Linked DNA regions of Drosophila melanogaster. The protein of the gene in region 2 interacts with the protein of the main gene of each other region in a pairwise test. Each region holds a gene or a part of one and is shown on either strand. Other genes may lie near its edges.

Region 1 (5,762 bases), on a different chromosome or scaffold from region 2:
TCCATCATATAATGTAATTAGGTATTAATAGGAATTTAACCTGAATGTAAATTTCAAAAATGTACTAAACCAAAATCATTACATTCATAAGTTTAAATCCGACGTATTGTAACGAATTTAATTTTTTTCTTAACCAATAAATAATAAATAGACAAATCACAAAGTTATTTTTTTTTCATATTACTATTTTCTTTGTGCACATAAAATTTTGTAAATATTTCGAATTTAGAGGCCCGTAGGAATATGGTCTTATACGCGTTATTTATTGACTGATAAGGAGTACTACATTCTTTGAAAATTATATCGTATATTGTTAATCAGGATCACTAAGCGGGTCAATTTAAAAAAATAAATAATAATATATCTAGTTTTCGTTGTCCTAGTAACTTACAGTTTCTTCCAGCTCTATGACAACGTTTGAGTAGTGACCAGATGTCCAGTTTTTCAGACGCCAGCTCTGCTGTATTTTTTTTTCAGGGACGAGCTCTTCGAATTTTCCGAGCACATTGCCTCCGTAAAGAATAAATCTACAATAAAAGACAAAAGATTACTTACCATAAAGAAGTGAAGACAAGGGCGAGGGGCGAAATTTATGGTTATTCATAACAAGATTACTAAATGACGACACAAACGGTCCTGATGTGATGGTAAAATAAAACGACCAGGGACAAAAACTTACTCTCCACCGCGCACGGCATCTACTTTGGCAGGTGCCCTCGTAAAGGCAGTGACCATTTCTGGCTTTGTGAGAGCGTTGTAAAGGTCATTGGCGCTGCAGTGAAATTCTTCGGTCATCGAGAGAGTGCGAACGTCCAGTTTACAGCCGATGCCAGAGTTCTTCAGCCTAGGAGCCGCCACCGAGGAGTTTAAAGCGATATTTTGGGCTGCATTACGGGTATTGTTGGCATCCTTAAAATTCGCCACAGTATTTCCCGCTCCGGCCTCGTCGCCCTTCTTTGGTAGGATAAGGTTCTTGGAGTACTCCTCCTTCAACTCTCGGATGTAGGAAGCCAGTTGCTGCCGCACGCGGTCTCGTCCCACGTTGTACATGAACTGTTTCAGGGTCTCCGACTCGTCGTTGGACTCGTCGATTGTCACCGTGATCTCTACGTCGGCTAGTTCGTTCTCCTCGGAGAGATTGGGAATGGTTAACTTGCCCTTGTGGATCAGCTTGCTGTTCTTTAGGAGCTTTCCAGACCACTTGAGCACCAGCTCCCACTCGTAGAAAAATATGAGCTTGCCCTTGCGATTGTTCACGGTGGCCTCCCCGGAGCATTTGTCCACGGAGTCCACGGCACACTCAATGTCGCTTTGCCCTGCGTTTTGAGAAGTTTACTTTTAGGTTAGGATATACCTAAAATGTATGTTCTACACTACTACAAATTCTTATATACTCGCCTATTTTGAAATCCTGAAAAAGCTGATGCAGGCGGTCCTTGGACCATGGCGTGGCGTTCTTTTCCGTCCAGTGCCAGTTGTTCACGTTGGTGGCGTCGGGCCGCTCCTCCACAATCCAGCGCGGATCTCCTTCTCCCCACTTGGCCATCGCTTTCTTACTGTAGAATTGTATGAAACTGTCTTCAATTTTATGAAAAGATGGAAGATGTTGGTTTACTTTTGATCCGGCAGTCTTAGCTTAAACTAATTCGGACAATTACTATGGCCAGCGAGTGGAATTTTCTAGAATTCTGCGGTTCAAAATAGGGATGTAAAAATTATCGATGCCAGTGCACACATATGTTGGCAGCGTTGCCACCAAGTCCGAGGTGTTTGTGCCGTTAAAAAAACGAAATGATGTGTAAATTTCCTGACGATATTTTAAATGGAGTTATGACGAAAGACGTATTCGTTCAGTGAATTTTTTAACAGATTTAAAATGGACAGTAAGTATTGGTGGTATTGTATTTTTTTATAACAAGGTTGTTTTAATGTTATATTTTTATGTACGTCCAAAACTTTAAGTTTATGTTTTTAACTTGTAACAAACAATTTTCGAAATGGTAATAGCCGATTCCCGCAAATCACACCATAATGGATGTAACAAAGTTGTTTTACAGCTTTTCAAGCTATTTGTCTTGAAATAGATAAGGTCTGCTCTAATCTCTGAAAAAGTGTACCCCTAAAAATATTTAATGTATTGTTGCAAGTAAATAATTAGCCCTAATTTTTTTAGTTCTACTGATTAAAAAGTTCTTACGTTTGGTTACAAGATGCAGTGGCATCAGGATATTTTAAAAGTGGCCACACAGAGCTCGCGTAACACCCAGCTTAAGTCAGCATGCACTTGTTATTTTTCAGTTGTTTACTCAACCGATAGCTGAATTCAGCACATCCCTAGTGGAGAGCTGAAAGAAAATGGCGATAGAATTTTTTTGGTGTTGATTTGTTTATTATCCGTTCGTCTTTGATTGTTCAATGAAAAGCCTTAAAAATTAGCCAACTGCTGGTGAAAAATGTACAACTAGAGTGTGTGTCGTGTGCGCGAGAGTGTGTGTAGTAGCTCAGTAGCTCCGCGATGATTAGCGCAATGGACAATTTCGACAACAGATCGTACGGTGCCATATCAAAGGGGCGCAGTGAATTCTCAATGCCAGGTAAACAGCAGATACTTTTGCTGGCCCGAAGGATATAGCCTAGCATGAACAGAATACGAATCTTTGTATTGATAAAATTTTATTAAGATCACAAATTGGGATACCCACAACTACAAAATAAGAGAAGCAACAAGCAACATTTGTATGTATAGACTTGTGTGCTAGGTGAAATGTTAGTGCACATATGTATGTATATTATGTACATATGTACATTGCGTTCTCGTTTTTGGCCTTCGTCAGAATTAAGTCCGAAGAGCTTTGGTAACGCTAATAAGCCAATTTGCACAATTAGCAATCCATTGTGGTTTCGACAAGTGAAAATTGTTTATCGGCCTAAGCTAGTGACGTAGCCTACAAGATGCTTTCATCGCATCGCAAACAGCTCGTGTATGCACGTGTGTATGTGTGTTGGGCGCGTGTGCCTGGAATGCTGCTCTGGTGTTTTTTATTTTTACTGTTGGTGTTGCGATACAATTTACAAAATGCCCAGAAACAAGTATATGAATTTATTATTGATTCGCATCTCGTTCTTGCAGAACTTACACCGGAGCAGCAAAAACTGCTGATTGAGCTGCGACGCAAGAAGCAGGAACTTTTACTCGAAATACAGGTAATTGACCATCAATATATACATACATTTTTAATTTTGGAAACAACGATTTAAGAACATATTCGTATACACTTGTAGTATACAGAAAAACAATTTCGTGATGTCTTTTTGTCTGGAGTTTTTGCCAGCTTCTTTTTAGGTGATTTGACAGAGAGGGAGCAAAGACACTAGACTTATTCCAGAGCCTTTGTAGGGAGGGCTTGACGGGCTCTGAATTTTTTTATATGAACGATTAATCTTAAAATATATAAATTTTAATAAACCGATAATAAAAATGATGGTAAAATTATTGTTGGTGCTAAGAATTAATTTAGCAAATAATCGAAAGTAAATATCCCAAAAAAAAATACAATAAAAACATTAAGAAGAGAGATAGTGGGCAAGAGAGTCGATTTTTATGTTGTTGAGTAGCATATGTGCATTTATATGTATTTATAAAATTTTATGAATACCTATAAGCCAGACCAATTTGGTTTTTTTTTCTACTTAGGTTGTTTTTTAACTCCTTAATGCGGGAAGATTTGTGATCTGGCGGCTAGTGGCAAGTTTAGCTATTTATGTTCGTGTTGCGATCGTGACTAGTTTTCACTTTGTTAAGACTTCTTTATGTTCAACAACTTTTTTAAAAGAAATATATATTTTAGTGCTCATATCATATCATACCTGAATACAATGACCATGGTTTTAACCCGCACGATCTACGATTGAAATAAAGCATTTGAAAATGAGTTGTTAAACGCCATATAGGCTTTCTCTGGTGTCTTTCTATAAAAAAAATCCAAAAATACTTGCTAGGATTTTAATATTTTTTGTGGTTAAAATTACCACTCACCAGCCCCATTACAAGTGATAATTTTGGTAGTGTATTTAAAGTCTTGTCAAGACATAATGTTTCAATTACCAAATCTGAATTTGAACTGAATTATTCACTCGAATTCCGAATATACAAATAAAATAAAAAGAAAATGTTTGTTCAGTCGAAACAAACTGTCCCTCCGGAATTCCCTCAGAATATTCAAGTCATCGCTCCTGTGACGATCGGTTCACCAGAATAGTAAAACTGCTGTCTTCCAACAGCGAACTGGAGATTTTTTCGCGTGCTGTAATTGTGGTTCTTCGAGTCGTGATCTAAAGTGAACGAATTTTTATTTATTGGATTTTTAACAATTGCCGTTTTGTCATTGTGCTGATATGTGCAAATGCTTGTATCGTTAGATTGTGAGAAAACGCAAAGGTGAGTGTGCTAAAAAGTCAATTATAAATTTGTGTGTGGTACGATACTACCAATTTAATTATCAATTGTTAAAATAAACGTTTGCTGAAATTAATAAAAATATTAATATTTTGCTAGTACAAGTCCTAGTTAAAGGGCTTTTATTTATTGATAACTTTAATTTAAAAAATGTATCTACCTTAATAATGTTGAACTACTTTTAGTGTAAGGATCATGTGTTGTTATCGGTCAAAATTTTCGTATGCACATCTGCACCGAAATGGAAATCTCATATTTTTTCTGATTCCCCCGAATTTCCGTTGCTTTTTTTTCCTAACTATCGGGCTTTATTATGTCTACCTGGATATGCAATTGACACATCGTCCCCTACCTTTCACTCTTCTGTTCCCCGACTACCTGGAGTTATAATTTTTAGCTCAGCGCAAAATTACCTATTTTTTTATAGAATTTATAGAATGGATATTTAAAACCAGACAGAAGAATAATAAAAGTATTTAAACCCCTTAATCGTAGAGTAAAAGGACATACTAAAGCAAGTATATTGTACTACATATATGTAAAGTATATACAACTGTGCATGTTTCAATGATATGTATATAGACATATATTTTAAAGAATTTATGCCATTAAAACTGGTTTTATCCCATTTAAAATAATTGGTATATTTGTAATCAAAGGCTTTAAACTAATGGATTGCAATGATATGTTTGGTGTTTACACTTTGAATGCGTCGTTTGTGTGCACAGAAATTTCGAAAGAAAAATACGCAAATGTCTTCTTCACTGCGTTGCGGTCTTCTGACTGAAATCAACAAAAATCACAATTCTGTATATTTTTTTTATGTTTATTATTGTATTTACTATTATTTTTGTATACCATGGGAAGGTGTTGGGAAATTGTGAGGTAATCAAATATTTTCTAATTACTTTGATTTGTGTGACTCATAGCTGATAGTGCATTAAAGTAATATGGCTTTATGTAGGTAAATTATTTCCGATCCCAAAACAATTTTTTATTTTAATGCGAGTGGACTTCCCTCCTTCCCCTAAGTTCGATCCTGATAAGACTAGGTGTTTTCAGGCCAATGGCGGTCGTGTGCTGATAAGTTGCTGTTTTTGGGCAAATATTCAAGCCGGGGGAAAGCACATACATACATACATACATGCAGAAGTGCTGGGAGAAAAATTTACAACTTTGATGGGTAGCGATAGAAATTGGCAAGGATTTTTTTTAAGGTGTGTTCCAATTTTGTTTGCATATCCAAATAAATTAAATATTGAACCCAAAAAAAAATATTTCTTTCAAAGTGTAAGCGTTATCGTTG
Region 2 (5,046 bases):
TACCTTTTGGCCAGAATCATCATTTCCAGCTAGTGGCCATTATTTGGTAAGTATACTAAGTAGTAAATTTCACTGTTTTAGAAGCGGTGGATATGCACAGATCAAAAGCAACAGGCGACGGCGACTAACTGGCTGACAACCGAGCAACGTAAACGCGTTTTGGTCAAAACGAATAAGAGCGGGAGCGAGAGAGAGAGTGGGAAAATCATCGGGAGCGCACAGGTATTGGTGTGCGTGGGCCGCTTTTTTGAGGAGCAACCGTGTCACGACCCCCAACTACTTGCACTTATCGATATCGGAATGTAAACTCCCCTTTTAAAGGTGCAAGATAAATAATTTACTCGAACAATAGTTAGCTTCCTTTAAAAAAAATAAACAATATGAATGCTGGTATTCTTAATTGCCTCGATTTTTTATAACAAATATACCAATAACTACTACATGTTTTTGATCTGAAAGATACGCTAGTGGGAGTGCGAGCGAGAATATACTGTACGAGTAACGGATATACCTAATTCAATTCCTTATAAAAAGCACACAAATGCAGAAAACTGCATCCCTCGACCACATTTATAAGAAAGTAATACCGCCGTAAAAAGTTTAATACGTAAAGGTATTCGAAAAAAAATTGTTTCCCAACTATCACATATCCATCTTTCAATCATAAAAGCACGAGTGCCGAGTAGTTTACCTTACCGGGTCAAAGACGTAGTAAAATTGGCTGCAGAGGATAAGACACATTTAATAGGGAGTTTTTCAGAATATAGCACAATATAAACATATAAAATGACATACTGATAGGGACACAGAGCGAAGATAAAAAATAAAATCATTCTCACAAGATGATCTCGTTTTTGAAGCTGCGACTGAGCTCCTTGTGCGGCAGTACAATGCTGTTCAGCAGGATTTTCTCGGCGGGCACCTGCACGAAACAGCCTGAAATTGAAAATTAGGATTCAAGAATGTCATCACTCAATTCAAAACACCTACCCAGTATGGTTATCGAGGGGTTTAGCTTGCCCTCGTTGTTGAAAAGCGGTGGGTTCTCCATTTTGGCAAAGGGTTTGTTGGGATCGGGATCACTAGGTGTGCCCTCGACTCGAGCCCAAGCTCCAATGGTGGAGCCCCTGCCCACAATAGAGTGCAGCACGAGCGTATGGTCCAGGATCTGTGCCTGCTCCAAAACAATCGATTCGCGAATGCGCACACCTGGTCCAATTGTCACTCCAGGTCCAATCGCCACATTGGGTCCCAGCTGGAACAGGACCTTTTTGTTAGAAGCACTCTAAAAAATAAGTTTGATCTAGACCAACCACTGCGCTGTGATGGACAGTGGCACTGGGATGCACATAGACGTCCGGATGCACTGTGCAGATCAAGCTGCCGTCCCCTTCTCCGCGCTTGATCCCCACATTGGCCAATCTCTCGGGATGCGTTTTCTTGTACAGGCCAAGATAATGACGATTTGCGTAGATTGCCGACCCAGCAGTCTTCAGTTGGGACCACCAGTTAGGCACTGGCATGGCAAAGAGTTTATCGGTTCCAGCCAGGGGCGTAAGCACCTCCTGTTCCCACTTGATGTGCCCCTGCTCTCGTCCATTTCCATTTCCGTTTCCATTGCAAAATGCCTGGCAGCTGTACTCCTGACCTCTCGAATGAAAAATCTGTGCCAACACCGTGAATATATCCATGGAACAGACATACACCCCACAGTTGATAAATGTGGACACATAGGAGCTAGGCTTTTCTACATAATGCGAAACGGCTCCGCTACTCCGATCGAAAACCAGACAGCCGTAGTGCAAGGATTGCTGACGTGTCGCCTCCGTGGACATGATAGTAACCAGAGCACTCGCCGGGCGCTTCTCGTGAAAGTCGCACAGTTCTTGCAGCGGAAAATCAGCGCAAACATCTCCGTTCAATACGAAGAAGGCTCGGGGGTTACCAGCTCTAATCTGATCCCGGAAATGGTACATTCCGCCTGCAGTGCCCAAGGCAGTGAACTCCTGAAGGTACCTATGATAAAGGGTAGGTCAACTTGGAACTTAAGATTCAAGTTCTTCCAAAGCCCCTCTTCCCACCTGATGTTGATGTTGCTGCTGCTGTACAGGGCCTGCATGTCGCCCACGAATCCCTCCATTTGGGTCTGCGGATAATAGCCGATGATCAGGATCTCGCGTATATCGGGCAGCTGGGCGCAGGCCTCAATATGATGGGCGATTAGAGGACGACCGGCCAATGGAAAGAGCGGCTTGGGCGTGTCAAGCGAAAGGGGGCGAAAGCGGGTGCCCTTCTGGGGACCGCCGATCAGGATAACGGCCTTTAGCATGGTGTGCGTGCAGCGGTAAGATGACTAATGACGATCGATCAACTTGTGGCCAGGTTCTCAGAAAGATATATTTTATGTTTACGTTGCCAGCTAGAAAATACTCCGCTCTACAACAGCTGATTGCGCTAACAGCCCTTGGAATAGCTGATAACAGACTTAACAGCACGCTGAACTTGTTATCTGGTAAATTTATACAAGATATTCCTTTAGCCTTAAAATCAGCAACACCAAACTCATTGAAAATGTATGGAACATTTAACACAGCTAATCTAATTTCAAAATTTAATAGCTAATTTATTTTAATGAAAATTCTAGATACCACATTTATGCGGGGCATACTGTTAATCAAGTTTCTTATCTACTGGTAAAAAAAATTATTCTGGCAACAAATTGATAAATAAATAACCAATGCCATTGCCAAAAATTAGATTTCTTACAAATCTGCAAATGAGAGTTGTAAGGATGAACACCAATTTAGTGGCTTAATATATTTTTGACCTATCGAATGCGCACTGTATCTTTGCTGGAAGACTGTTACTTGACATAGCTGGAAAGACCTTTCAATGGAAAACCTCCAGATATCAGACTTCCAGTATTTGATTTGGAACAATTTGATTTTAATCTATTTATACAACGAAAACCATTTAATAAATGTCTTTAAATACACGATAAGAACAAAGGCGAAGCACTGAATCTATGGATAGTTGTTTACAGGGTGTAAAGCAATTCTCTGGCGGTTGCAGCAATACGAAACAGTGTCCTCGAGCAGAATTCGAGGAATTAGCGCACCAGATCCTCCGGATTGAACATGCCGCGGGCGCGACGCAGAATGGAGTCCTTGCTGGCGTCGTACGGATGGTCCTTGGAGGGAATCTCCAAAACAGCGGGCACGGGCGACGTATGGGCATCGATCACATGACGAATAAGCTCGGCGCAGTTCTGGTTGATTAGAATGATGTCGATATCGTCCCGCTTAAGGAAACGCTTGAAACAGTCCTCCAGTTCGCTGACGGCCGTATTTTTGTCGACCACCATAAAGTTGGGATGGCGATTCTTGTTGATCTCGCCCACTCCGCCGAGCAGAAAGCCCACACAGGTGTCCTCGTCGCCGATAACGCTGATCAGTTTTCCCTTGATTGCCGAGTGCAGAGCCATTTCGATTGGTTTTTTCTAATTTTTTCTTACGAGCGATGTGGACAGCGAAATTAAAACCTAACTCTGGAAAATGTACGGGTCAGCTGGTCTCTATCACATGACACAGTTGCGGTCTACAGCACTGGAAGGCGCCTAACAGCACCGCATTGGTATTCTTAGTAGGTATTTTAGTACCGTAGCGTAACGGTATCTTCTGATGGTGTGACCGTAAGGCACAGTGTTATTTGTGATTTTTAAATAAATGAAAATACTGTTAAGAGCTTTAATGTTTTTTTTATTGCTAATCGAGCGTATTAGTTTTAAATGTGTTTTAAATTCCAGGAATTAAGAAGTAGCTTGCCATAAATTATATTCTGGTTTTAAGAAAAATATCCATTTTTCTGAAAATTTGGATCTAAAATTCTTAATTTTTCAGTTGTTCAAAAAGGTCAAGTTATTTAGCGCTAAAAACATTTTGGTAAAATCCCGCTCTTTCTGATAAGAGTAAAAATATTAATAGAAACAGCATTCTCATAGCTGATAAGCTTTTCTTCAAATTCACGACGCACAGCAGCTCACTTTCAGTGTGTTTGAAGGTTTTCACTGGAAATGTGCAGAGCTTGGGTTGTTTTATTCGCTTGGATGCTGACGGCGGGACGAGGATCGGCCCGCCTTTTGGACGAGGATTGTGGAGTTCCGATGCAATTAATACCGAAGATTGTAGGTGGAGTGGATGCGGGGGAACTGAAGAATCCGTGGATGGCCCTCATAAAAACCAATGACGAATTTATCTGCGGAGGATCGGTAATTACTAACAAATTCGTCTTGACGGCCGCTCATTGTATGTGCACCGATGAGGAATGCATTGTAAAGTACACTCAGCTGTAAGCACCTTAAATTAATAAATAATATAATATAATTGAATAATTATATGTGATTTGCAGCACAGTTACCTTGGGTGTGTACCATCTACTGGCGACGGGTGAACACAATCATCCCCACGAGATATACAACGTGGAGAGGGTCTACATCCACGATTCCTTCGCGATACAAAACTATCGCAATGACATAGCGCTTCTTAGGTTGCAAAAAAGTATCGTTTACAAGCCACAAATCAAACCGTTATGTATTTTACTGAACGACCAACTCAAGCCGCAAACGGATCTCATCCAGGAGTTCACAGCAATCGGCTGGGGCGTAACGGGCAATGGGAAGATGAGTAACAATCTTCAAATGGTCAAGATCTACAGAATAGATAGGAAAATGTGCGAGGCAGCATTTTGGTACACTTTTGATTACCCAATGTTCTGTGCCGGCACCGCGGTAGGCAGAGATACCTGCAAAAGGGACTCCGGTGGACCCTTGTACATACATATGTTGTTCGATGGCATCAAGCGAGCAACGCAGTTGGGAATCGTCAGCACTGGCACCGAAGATTGCAGAGGTTTCGGTATGTACACCGATGTAATGGGCCATATCGACTTTATCGAGCGCATTGTTCTGGATGCGGACATTGAGGTGGTGCTACCCTATATAGACCTACTCGATGCTGGGTGTCTGGGCAACGACACGTTGAACAGCTG

Evidence for each region.
Region 1: the proteins of Gmppa (region 2) and step interact in a two-hybrid assay, tested with the Drosophila melanogaster proteins (one large-scale study listed by BioGRID).

The regions. Positions count from the first base shown.
Region 1 is NT_033779.5:21,753,996-21,759,757, reverse strand, and holds the start of step (steppke), read left to right. Parts: upstream 1-2,291; 5' UTR 2,292-2,515; coding exon of another isoform or gene 2,516-2,594; intron 2,595-3,130; coding exon of another isoform or gene 3,131-3,204; intron 3,205-5,762. Other genes in the region: CG1416 (uncharacterized protein), read right to left, coding at 392-527, 680-1,316, 1,399-1,546.
Region 2 is NT_033778.4:15,676,499-15,681,544, forward strand, and holds Gmppa (GDP-mannose pyrophosphorylase A), read right to left. Parts: upstream 2,459-5,046; 5' UTR 2,330-2,458; coding exon 2,082-2,329; intron 2,017-2,081; coding exon 1,314-2,016; intron 1,256-1,313; coding exon 991-1,255; intron 937-990; coding exon 836-936; 3' UTR 720-835; downstream 1-719. Other genes in the region: Vha14-1 (vacuolar H[+] ATPase 14kD subunit 1), read right to left, coding at 3,110-3,484; CG30091 (uncharacterized protein), read left to right, coding at 4,073-4,347, 4,408-5,046. UniProt on the Drosophila melanogaster protein: Regulatory subunit of the GMPPA-GMPPB mannose-1-phosphate guanylyltransferase complex; reduces the catalytic activity of GMPPB when part of the complex. Mediates allosteric feedback inhibition of GMPPB catalytic activity upon binding GDP-alpha-D-mannose.